Linked DNA regions of Coturnix japonica. The protein of the gene in region 3 purifies or fractionates together with the protein of the main gene of each other region. This does not show direct contact. Links are inferred from orthologs where the notes say so. Each region holds a gene or a part of one and is shown on either strand. Other genes may lie near its edges.

The links. Proteins that work in one complex are often made in the same cells at the same time.
Region 1: the proteins of CHD4 (region 3) and TOP1 purify together in Homo sapiens (affinity purification with mass spectrometry; 3 studies listed by BioGRID and IntAct, with this or other methods). This does not show direct contact. The link is inferred for Coturnix japonica from reciprocal best matches to the Homo sapiens genes CHD4 and TOP1.
Region 2: the proteins of CHD4 (region 3) and ZMYM3 purify together in Homo sapiens (affinity purification with mass spectrometry; 3 studies listed by BioGRID, with this or other methods). This does not show direct contact. The link is inferred for Coturnix japonica from reciprocal best matches to the Homo sapiens genes CHD4 and ZMYM3.

The regions. Positions count from the first base shown.
Region 1 is NC_029535.1:4,172,815-4,176,602, reverse strand, and holds part of TOP1 (DNA topoisomerase 1), read right to left. Parts: intron 3,115-3,788; coding exon 3,019-3,114; exon of another isoform or gene 2,975-3,018; intron 2,821-2,974; exon of another isoform or gene 2,782-2,820; intron 2,372-2,781; exon of another isoform or gene 2,251-2,371; intron 1,904-2,250; exon of another isoform or gene 1,847-1,903; intron 1,528-1,846; coding exon 1,452-1,527; intron 444-1,451; coding exon 346-443; intron 1-345. UniProt on the Homo sapiens protein: Releases the supercoiling and torsional tension of DNA introduced during the DNA replication and transcription by transiently cleaving and rejoining one strand of the DNA duplex.
Region 2 is NC_029519.1:2,250,361-2,252,807, reverse strand, and holds part of ZMYM3 (zinc finger MYM-type protein 3), read right to left. Parts: coding exon 2,323-2,447; coding exon of another isoform or gene 2,218-2,322; exon of another isoform or gene 1,911-2,217; intron 1,894-1,910; coding exon 1,779-1,893; intron 842-1,778; coding exon 587-841; intron 497-586; coding exon 379-496; intron 1-378. UniProt on the Homo sapiens protein: Plays a role in the regulation of cell morphology and cytoskeletal organization.
Region 3 is NC_029516.1:69,333,693-69,338,130, forward strand, and holds the end of CHD4 (chromodomain-helicase-DNA-binding protein 4), read right to left. Parts: exon of another isoform or gene 4,346-4,438; intron 4,148-4,345; coding exon 4,038-4,147; intron 3,859-4,037; coding exon 3,726-3,858; intron 3,478-3,725; coding exon 3,400-3,477; intron 3,279-3,399; coding exon 3,141-3,278; intron 3,045-3,140; coding exon 2,936-3,044; intron 2,617-2,935; coding exon 2,484-2,616; intron 1,915-2,483; coding exon 1,719-1,914; intron 1,603-1,718; coding exon 1,459-1,602; coding exon of another isoform or gene 1,427-1,458; intron 1,327-1,426; coding exon 1,265-1,326; 3' UTR 726-1,264; downstream 1-725. Other genes in the region: NOP2 (probable 28S rRNA (cytosine(4447)-C(5))-methyltransferase), read right to left, coding at 1-58, 141-186, 263-368. UniProt on the Homo sapiens protein: ATP-dependent chromatin-remodeling factor that binds and distorts nucleosomal DNA. Acts as a component of the histone deacetylase NuRD complex which participates in the remodeling of chromatin.

The DNA of each region.
Region 1 (3,788 bases), on a different chromosome or scaffold from region 3:
ACCTCAAGCTCACAAGCTTTCAGATTCCTTTGAAGGGTGTAGGTAAAGGCCAGGTTGTAAGCACAAGAATACCAGTAGCAAGTTTTTGTGGGTAGCATCTACATTCTACAGGGGGAAATATTCTCATCATTGGCCTAGGAAAAAAGGGATTTTCACTTCTATTTCAGAGGATGAACATACTGAATGAGAAGTTCATTTAGAGTTTACAAAAAAGTAAGCCAATTATTCAGAACAAACCCTCATGAATCAACCAAAAAAAAAAAAAGGCAGATGTGGTTACTCAGTCAGCATGGGAGGTAACAGTGATAGTGCTGAGGGCAGCCTACATCATCAATATATAGTTACCATTTCCATTTCTGCTCCTCTTCTTTTTTCGGCTTCTTTCTTTTGTCCGCTTCAGGGCTTTTCTTATCTTTGTTCTTAGCCTTCTTTGCTTTGCTCTCCTGTAAAACGTTAGAAAAAGTTACCACATTCCATCCCTCTTATCCTCCGGCAAAAGGTGTTTTAAAACTAAACAACTATCCTTTGGCATGCACTAGTTAGACCACAAACAGCTGAATTATGAAAGCCTAAATACAGAACACGATGACTGAAGTGCACGTTTAAGTCAAACTCTGCTGACAGCCACACTTCAAAGTTTTAATCCAAATTATTTCCCTTAGATGTAGAACATATTAAGTGCACACAACAGCCACTTATTCTGCCTCACTTGATAAGCAGTAAGTTTGGGCCACAGTAACATGATTGCTCAATTATAGGAACAGTCTCCTCAGTGTGCATTAGTTACATCTACTCTGGCAAGTGCCACAGAGAAAAATTACATCACTATGAGGTGGCTTCTGGGAATGTATGGTATATGTTCTCTATAAAGACACTTTCATTAAACTTGAGAATTAATCAAGTTTCCAGGAGCTCCCTGCAACATGTGCTTCACAAAGGAGCCTTTGCTAGACACAGCAGCATAGCTTTCAAGTCTCCAACTATGGTTAACCTCAACACCACCTCCCTTTCCAAATTTACATCCTCGGTTTCATCTAAAAGCTTTAAATGTCTTTCCAGTGACTAATCCAAGTTTCATCTCCTCTGTTTCTGAACAGTGCCAAATTACCAGCACAATTACCAGGTGTTGCAAGTAAGGCTCTTATACTCTCTGCAGATGATCCTACTTAGCAGAAAGACTGAACTGCCAGGAACACACTACGAATTCTCAATCTGGAGATATTCCCTCTACCCCTTATTTTAAGTGTAAGAGACAAAGTTCCCCTGACTTTATACATTATGGCTCCGATGAGTCAACTTGAACTCCAAGTCTGTATCTGTTACATGCAGCTTTGTCCCAGGACTGATCCTTGCCCCTTTCCCTTTGAATTCGATTCCTCTTGCTCTATACAATTCAATACTGAATTATCAGTCTTGCTTTTCTTGCTAGAAACAAACATCTTTCACATTACCTCTTCTTCTTCTTGTTTCCTTTTCTTTGCTTTCTTTATGTCTTCTGTTTTTATTTTCTTGGGTTTGTAGTCAGCACTATAAGAACAAAGACTAGCTGATGAAAATCATCCATTTTCCAGTATAAAAAATATTAAGTCATACACGTATAAAATCTGTGTGTTCAAGTTTATAGTATGTAAAATCCATAGGCTATAACTACAAGTAGTTGCTGTATGGGAAACTGTTGATCACAGCCTGAACATCTGATTAACCATCTGAGGCAAGTGATGGGTCAGCTGTGGGAGCACAGGTGAAGGTAATTCAGCTGTGCTCCTGGAAGGGGTTGAGCTTGACTCCACCTCTCCTAGATCCCATTTAAGGGCTGACCACCACTAAGGCAGCATCTCTTTCTGGAGACTGCTCCTATGTGGAGATTCTACAGTGAGTGTCTTGACTGTGAGCCTCAACAGTGGTGAGTCCCATATAACCTCTGGCTATCCATCTACTTTACCTTTGTATAGTTACAACTGTATATCTTTGTATAATTACAACTATACAGATGCCCAGAAGAAGTTTCAGGCTGCTGAAACAAAAATTTTTTGTTGATGCTGCACCAAATAAAGAGTATTAGCAGCCACCCAGCAATTACATGGGATAAAATAAATCAATGAAAGCTCAGTGGCATGTTTTCCCCAACATGCTGTCCCTCTTGTAATCATCAGTTTGGGAACTGCTTCCAGTACCCACTTTTTGCATCCCCCACTAGTTTGAACACCAGCGAAATCGACTGCTGACAAATTCTTAATCTTTTTGTTGCAGGCATGAGATGGGAGGTCACAAAGACTTAACAGAAGGTAGCAAATGATTACACAAAAGAGAAGATGTCACACCCATGTCTCTTGGATGCTGAAACATGACATTAGAACAGAATGCCAATGTGGTAAGCTCTTCCAAGCCTTTAAGTCTAGGCCTTTTAGATGGGTCATGCTATCTAAAAAACTGGACATGCTAGATGGTAACATCATAGCACGATGTAACCAGGTTTTTATTTCACTGGGCAGGCTACTATGTATCAGGCAAACATCACATGAGCTTTCTTAAAGAATAAAATCCCCAGTGTAATCCACAACATATTCAGACACTTTTAAAAAGGACTCATGCCATGCAGTGCATGTGAAACTCTCCCCTGTACTGAGCAGGCTGACTGTATTTTCTTCCTCTTGTGTTGTCATTTGCTCACCCATCAGAAACCACTGCAGCCATTTAGCTACCATTAATACCACACTTACTCAGACTTATGCTTTACAGTCTTGGTCTCTTCTCACTTTTTCTTTTTTTCCCCCTATTTAGTAACTCTGCAGCTCTGCACAGAACTATCTGAAGAAGCAGGTAATGGTATTTTTTCTATGAACAACGTAGATGCTATCCTTACTCTGTTCAGAAAACTTTTAATAGTGTAAGAAATTTAGTCTCAGATCTCCAGTCCCCCAGTACAGGCTGAATATCTTAGATCCTACTTGCTCCCTTGGTGTTCTCTTTCTAGAGCCAAAGGCAAGCATTCAAGTCCCCAGTACCCAGGTCACTTACTCATCATCTTCCCGAGGCCTCTTCAGGGGTTTGGAGTCCTCTTTAGGAGAAGCATAAAACCCGTCATCATCTGGTTCATCTTTAATACGTGGTGGACTACAAAAAGAAACAAAAAAAGGTGGTTCTAAACTTCAAAGTGCATGTTCCTTCATTTAAGAAATCATCAGATGCAGAATAGACATTCTGCGTTCATTGGGAATGGGTCCTCTTCCTCAGATCCCAGAGCCATGTTTGCTGAACTTTTGCAGACAGCACAAGCAGAAAGTCTTTTAGCGTTGACATATTTGCTATTTTTCAAGCAACATCAAGATCAATTACTTACAAACAATGTAGATTTCACTGTTTCTTTGAGATTTTTAGTAGAAACAACCACAGCTTCCAGTATTTTTAAAGCAAAACTGAAACCATGTATGTGTGTAGTCAAATAGGAACATTACATGATTTCAGTTCAATATCCTTATTGGGTCTGGTAAAAGACTGTCAAACATGCAGAGATTTGAAAGCTATGTTACTAAATGTTTTGCAGACTAAATACTAATGTATATGAAAAAGCAGAGAAGGAAACAAAGATCTGGCAAACTTAAGCTGATCAGTCTCTCTTTACTACCCAAACTGTGGGAAGCAAATAATCCTGTCCCTCTCAAACCACAAATACTAAATTAAGCTCAGTGCTTTCAGACACAATATTCCCCTGAACAGTAGAAATAAAAGGAAAAATAGAGTATGAGTGGGTACAAAGATCTCTTTAAACAAACTCGTTATTTCTAGAT
Region 2 (2,447 bases), on a different chromosome or scaffold from region 3:
AAGAACAGAAAGTGAGACCTAGGACAACAATAGCAGGGGCTCAGAAGGCCTGGCTTGCCCTCTCAATTATTAACGGGGGCTCAAGTCTCTCATCTTCTGGGCAAGACCAGGCTATGCACTGTAGTCTTCACTCCAAAGTAAACTCCCTAACCAATAAAGCAGACATGCCATGCACCCCTCCACGTCTTTCAAGAAATAAAGAATGAAAGCAGACAGAAAAGTGCTCTCTCAACCACAGTCTACGAGCAGAGCAGACCCTGGTCAAGGCTTAACGCTCATGGAAGAACATGCAGAGAGCAGCAGCTACTCCACTGGCTATCCCTAAAACTGAGAGGTGGCCCCAAAACAACACAAGCCTCTGATCCAGAAAAGCCTCACCATTTGGAGAGATAAAACTCGTAGAACTTGACAGGGCATCGAAGCGGGTTCATCTTGTTCTCCCGCTGCTCCAACATTGGCACCTCCTCCTCACGCTTCCTCTTTCCAGTGCTACCATCTGCAAAGGGGGGGGACAGAGTAGGATCACAGCTGGGACATGACGGAGAAGGCAGGGAGAGGGACAAAGAGATGTTCTGTCAGACCCTACCTCGGCCTTTCTTTTGCTTGGCAGGAGCACAGTAGCGGATGCTCACCATCTTCGTGACACCACGGGCTGTGGTGCACTTGCGGGACTGCCGTACTACATTGGTGAAGGAGAGCTGCATGTGCTCCTCTGCTGTCTGCAGCCCAAAGAACTTAGTGTTGAAGAACATAAGGGTGTTAAGGAGCACAAAGGGTGAGTAAACGCCCAGCTGCTTGCACTCCCATAGGTGCTCCTCCTCGACACGTGAGAAGACTGTGTCTGTAATACAGAGGAAGAACCAGGTCAACACCCACAGTGGCCTTGTGTTCTTTCAGGAGGGAACTAGAACAATGTGCCTGCCAGCAGTGGCTGGGAGCCAGCCCCAAGCATCTGAAGAACGTGTGTCTGGAGCAATCCCTTCTCCTCCAAGTTCAACTCAGTGCTGACACTTCACAATGCCCGCTTTCCCACAAGGTTCCTCCTTCAGAGCCATCAATGGACCCTAACCCTGCCCATTCCACGGCACAGGCAAATCTCAGCCCAGAATCTCAATAAATCCTAACGGATCATATCATAAACGACCGTGAAGTGGACTCAGGTCAGTGCTCCACCTCACCGTGGGGGATAATAGAAAAGCCATCGCCTTTCTGGACACACAGGTCTGGAGCTGAAGGCCTCCACCTGGAACAGCCATCATGCAGAGGAGTGGCTACAGCAACTACAAGACACCATAGGGAAGGAAGCCCAGATTGTGGCATCATGCAAAGCCTCTGCAAAGCTCTAAGGCAGTCTGTTCACAAGGTAGCATGACAGCAACCATGGCCAACATTCAGAACAGTGTGCAGGGCTTTCCGACAGACTGGGAAGGGAAAGACATGGGCCTCCACACCTGTTGGTTTGGTATCCTCCTTACTAAAGGGTTCAGACACCAGTGAAATTTACTATTGTAAAGGTTAGAACTGCTCCAATAAACAAAGCAGCCACGCTCTACTCCCAGCCATTCTGACTCTGGGAAACAAAGTTGCTGAGGCATAAACCAGACTGGCCCTGCTGTCAGTATGGGTCAGGATGACCCTAAAATGCAGTGGAACAGCACTGCCTGTGCCAAGAGAGAAGACTGAGGCTGGAGGAACGCAAACAGACTGGAGGATCCAATGCAAGAAGCACAAATGGGTTATGTATGCATGCTAAGTTAAGGTAATATGGAGACACATACTGTTTGGTAAGACTGTGGGTTGCCAGCCACTCAGGGACTTGTTCAGCTCCTGCACGAAGGTCAGGTAGTAAAGGTCTGTAAATATATTCACCATACGATTGTTCTCAAGCAGGTACTAGAAAGAACAGAACACACAGTCAAGAGAGACAGCGGTACCTGGAGTGCAAATCCTTCCCATAAAGCCCAGGACACACGCAGAACCCAGGCTTGCACAGGCAGAGTTGCAGAGCAGATGCTCAGCTAAAAGCAACCATTCCTGAAAGCTGTGAGAAACTGCAGGACATCACAAAGCAGAACTGATGAATGAGAAGGGACTGAGACTGAATTTGGAGAGTTTACTCGGCCTTCCTCCAGGATGTGCTCCTTGGGTGCAAAGACAGGGAATGCCTGTCACCTCCCACTGGGCTCAGGAACAAAGACTAAACTGGGTAGGTTGCTGTCATAGGTCTCCAGAAGGCAAAATAAAGGGCAAGAACTCTCCCTCACCAGATGTGACCCCCAGGCCTGGCTGGGAAGGAAGTGAGGACAACAAGCTTTCCCTCACCTGCTGAATCCCAAGACACAGATAATAGATGCTGTCCGGTTCATAGCGCTCCCCATTGGGCCGTGTTATTTCCTTGACAAACTGAGCCAGGCCATAGTTGAGTTCAGCTGCCGTGCAGGCCAGGA
Region 3 (4,438 bases):
CCGCCGCCCTCCTCCCGGTGCCGTCCGCCCCGTCACCCCCAGCCGTCTCTTGGCGGCCCTGCAGCGGAGGGAAGCGACCGTGAGACCTCAGAGCCGCCCCGGTTGGGACCCCCGCACCGGGCCGGGCCGCCCTCGCTCACCTCCTCCGCGCGTGGCTGGACAGCTTCTTGCGGCCGGCCTCCTCCTCTGCAGAAACACAACGGGCACTCAGACAGGCCCCGAGGCAGCGCCAAGGCCCCGGGCCGCCACGGGCCGCACTTACCGGGCGGCAGGAAGCGGGCCAGCTCCACCTCGGCCCCCCGCTGCTTGCGGGCCTTGCGCCCGGGGCCGCGCTTCTCCTTCTTAGTCGGGTCCAGCTTCCGCCCCATGGCTCCGGTACAGCCGGCACCGCCAACAACCCACGTGCGGGCCAACCCCTGCCGCGCACGCGCTCGTCCGCCGACCCGCCCCCGGCCCGGTATTGGCTGCGGGGCGGAACGTCACGGGCCACGTTGACCAGGTTGGACGGGGCCCTGGGCAACCTCGTCTAGTAAATGTGTATGTTTGGTGGCCCTGCCAGGCAGGGGGGTTGGAACTACATGATCCTTGAGGTCCCTTCCAACCTGGGTCATTCTGTGATTCTGTGGGCCGGCACGAGAGACGGCAGGGCCTCTCACAGCCCAGCCCAAGGCAAAGCAGGAGGATTCAGGCCTAGAGAGAATCAGTGCTGCACAGAAACCTCAAAGTAAAATACAAGGAAACTTTATTTTTCAGTTCTACCAAGATTTTGCTCTGCTTTTGTCCTTTTGCTTTTTGTTGTGTTTTTTTGTTGTTTTTTTTTTTCACTTTATTTTCTCCTCTCCGAGCTGCTTAATGAGCGGACAAGTCCCGTCAGTTTCTGTATTAAAAAGGATCTCGATGGAGGTAGCTTTGTCTCTGTCCTGGCTTCTGCTTCATCTCGCCTGTGCGGTCACATCGGTAAACAAACCCAAAAAGAAAGTTACAAAACTGAAAACGTGGAATTCCAGGCGGAGGCAGCGAGCAACGCAGCCAGGTTCTCCATGTAACAGCCATGGCACCGCGGCCTTCAGTCACTATGTACAGAGTCCATCATCCATCCGTCCCCCTCTCTCCTCAGCACACTCCTCGCTCCGGTGGGCTGGCCGTAATGGAAGGAGGTTCTCCCTCCTCCCAGAGACTCGCACGGCAGCTTCCACGAAGAAACGGCACCCGGTCAGGAATGTCAGGCAGAGGGGCAGAGTGTGAAGGGGTGGGGCGGGGAGGGTCACTTCGGCTTGGCCAAAAGATTGACGGCACCGGGCTGGAGACTCACTGCTGCTGCGCCACCTGTAGGGCGAGAGAACAGCCGCTAGGCTCTGTAGTATGGGGGCTATTTCCCCACATAGCCCCGAGACACCCCCGCCTGCAGAGCAGGGAGGGCACATACTTGTTGGGGAGGGGGCGGTGGAGGGGGCTCACTGCTGCGGTTGGCGAGCCTGCTGAGGATGTTGCGTTCCGACATCTGCAGGCGCACTGCCACCGGCGGGATACGGGCAATAGTGGCAGGCAAGCGTGTCACGTCAGCCTTCATGTCACTCAGAAGCTCCTCGAGCTGCTTCAGAACTAGAAGAGAAAGGGACATGGATTCAGGGCAGAGGAAGGAGGAAAAAGAAGGTCTTCCCCATGTGTGGTGCACAAGATGCTCAACACATCCACTCTTGCTTAGCCCATAACATCACCTTTGTGCAGCACGGCGTTGGCAGGCTTATTCCCAGCCATTGACTCCTTGGATAGATGCTGGTGACTCTCGGCCAGGCACTCCACCTCTGCAAAACGTGTGTTCAGAGCCATTGAAGGATGAGAGGGGTCTTCTGACATATTCAGATAGGCAGCTCGCCGCAGCTGCTCCTCAATCACCAGGGCCTGCTCCAGGAGCTGCAAGAGGGGGCAGTCATGTGAGAAGTCCTCCAGCAGTTGCCTGCTTGGATGTCCCTCTCCAACCCCACCACAGTCTTCCTGATCTAGTCATTGTCTGTCACAAGGTGGAACCCTGAAACTCCTTTCACCATCTTCTGTTTAGCTTGGTCTAAATATTGAGAAACAAAGAGCTTCATTAAGCCAGGCTCTGTATACAAGAAAATCAACCAACTTATGACCAGTCTAAAGTGCTGTGAACAGATTCATATTCCTCTGCCTTCTTAAAGGATTTCTGAAGTAAATCTTTGATCTTTCTGCATGAAGCACAGGAGATGAAGCTTTTTTTTCCCCCAGTGAACCTGAGAAGTATCCAACCAAAGAGGAAGAATTCAAGAGAAACTGTTAAACATGTCAGAGTCCTCTGAAGAAATCAATTTGAATTCTATTGTAGCAGAGCTGACTGGCCAAACTACACTGATGTTTAGTTCCGAGACTCAGAATTACATGGCCTAACTTGGGTTGGCAGCCATCTTGTTCTTAAAAGCTCATCTTGCTGAAGGGCATTTGTCACAATGAAGGTGCCTTACCTTGAATCTCCTTGCCAAGAATTTGTTCTTTATTTCCAGGAAGTTACCCCTGTTCATCTCTCCCTTGAAGGGCTCATTGAGGATGGCGTAACGCGGATCATTCTGAATATCTTGCCAACGGGCATAGCCATGACTGAGATGGGATGAGCTCAGGCAAACAAAGGCAGTGAGAACATGGGAATACACAGTCCAGGCAGACAGTTTTTGAGGGGGTCAGGGAAGGGGACACAAAGAGGGGAGGAACAGGGGCCAAGAAAGAGGAATGAGAACTATTTCCTGCTAGGTCTTAATTACACCGACACTAAAACCCTCCTCCCATCATTTCTTTCACTCTACTGAATGATAAAAAGCACTCTCTCTCTGAACGCGTTCCAGTCAGGCCCCAAACGGTCACCTTCACAACAAGATTTAAAGCACAGGGGGAGAGAACTGGTTTCTCAGGGCAAGGATACTTGATAATTCCAGCAAGCAGCCAGTAGTCATGACGCCGATGCCAGATCTCATATGTCTTCTTTGTGACAGTTGCGGCCCGCTCTTCGTTCTGCCACAGGGAGTGTAATTCTGGACAGGCAAGATACACAAAAATAATGGAAAGTTACCTCATGAACGAGAACAGGAGAATATAAATGAGTTAAAATATAAAAAGATTTCACATACCTGTGAAGCCACCATCAGCTATGTTGAACATGAACCGTTGCTTTACTGCCTTTTTGTGCCTTTCATCTACTGACTCTTTCAGCATCTCTCCGTTCTGCAGCATCACCACGTCTCTCTTATCATCATCCTTTTTCTCATCTGCGTGCACAGAAGTCATTAGAAAGAACATGGCAGATAGCATAGCAAGTTGGACCTACAGGAAGTCCTTGCAGGAGAGGGAGTCATGAAGGGAATCAGGAATGGAATTATCACGACTCACCTTTCTCATCCAAGGTGATTACAGGGGGGTCAGAGGTATTCTCAGTAGGTGCTCTGTCTTCTGCCTTCTCCACATCAGCTGCAAGAGAGAAAGGGAGTATGAGATGTAACTATGAGCTCAAGCTTTTGTTCCTCAGTCAATGAAACCAAGGTGTTCCCTGACTCCCTGCTCAAAGTCATGGAACAGTCTCCACCAGTTATCCATTTATGTCTGCTTCTATAAGGTGAAAACACAGGCAAAGAAGTTGCATCTTTAGGAGGATACTGGTGTTCATTTTTTGTTCAGCTGTTTGTGTTCAAGGTATTAAACAACCTCTCTAGAGATACCTTTGTTTTCCACTTCCATTGGCTCATCTGTTCTTTCCTTCACCTCTGGTTCTTCTTTCTTCTCATCTGTTTCTGTGGAATTCACTGGGGATTTTGCTTCCTGTGGTGCTGCCTCCGTAGGCTGGGCACACTGCTGAGGACAGATCAATGAGCAGTGAAACAACGCAGCGTATGCAAACAAGACAGTCAAACCAGTTTGGAAAGCAAATCCGCACAAAACTATTACACACTGATTGTGAGAACATGAGGAGAATCATCTCTAAGTAGAGACATTTGCAACTGCATGAGGCAAACTAGCATCCCAATACCCACCTCCATAGGGACCTCTGTGTCATTAGCAGAGGCACTGAGTTCTTTCTCTGGCTCAGCAGACTCTCCTTGTTCCTTGTTACTGGCTCCTTCTTCTGCCTTTATTCCCTCTTCTGTGTATTCCCCACCCCAGAGCGGCATATCAGATAAAAAAAAAAAGAAAAGAAGCCATCAGTGAAGTGTTTCCCCCACTGTAAACATGCACATATCTTTGCTCCTAGAGAAAATGCCCATTCAAGCAGGAACAACATCGCTCAAGATGAACCCACAGACTTCCTACCAACCGCAAACACAGGGTACTTATTTTCACTGATGTCCTCTCTTGCCTTTAAGGGTTTGCAAACATCTTCAAGCAACCCTCCTAACTTGAGAGGGTAAGTTGATCTGTGTCCACCCCCAGACCC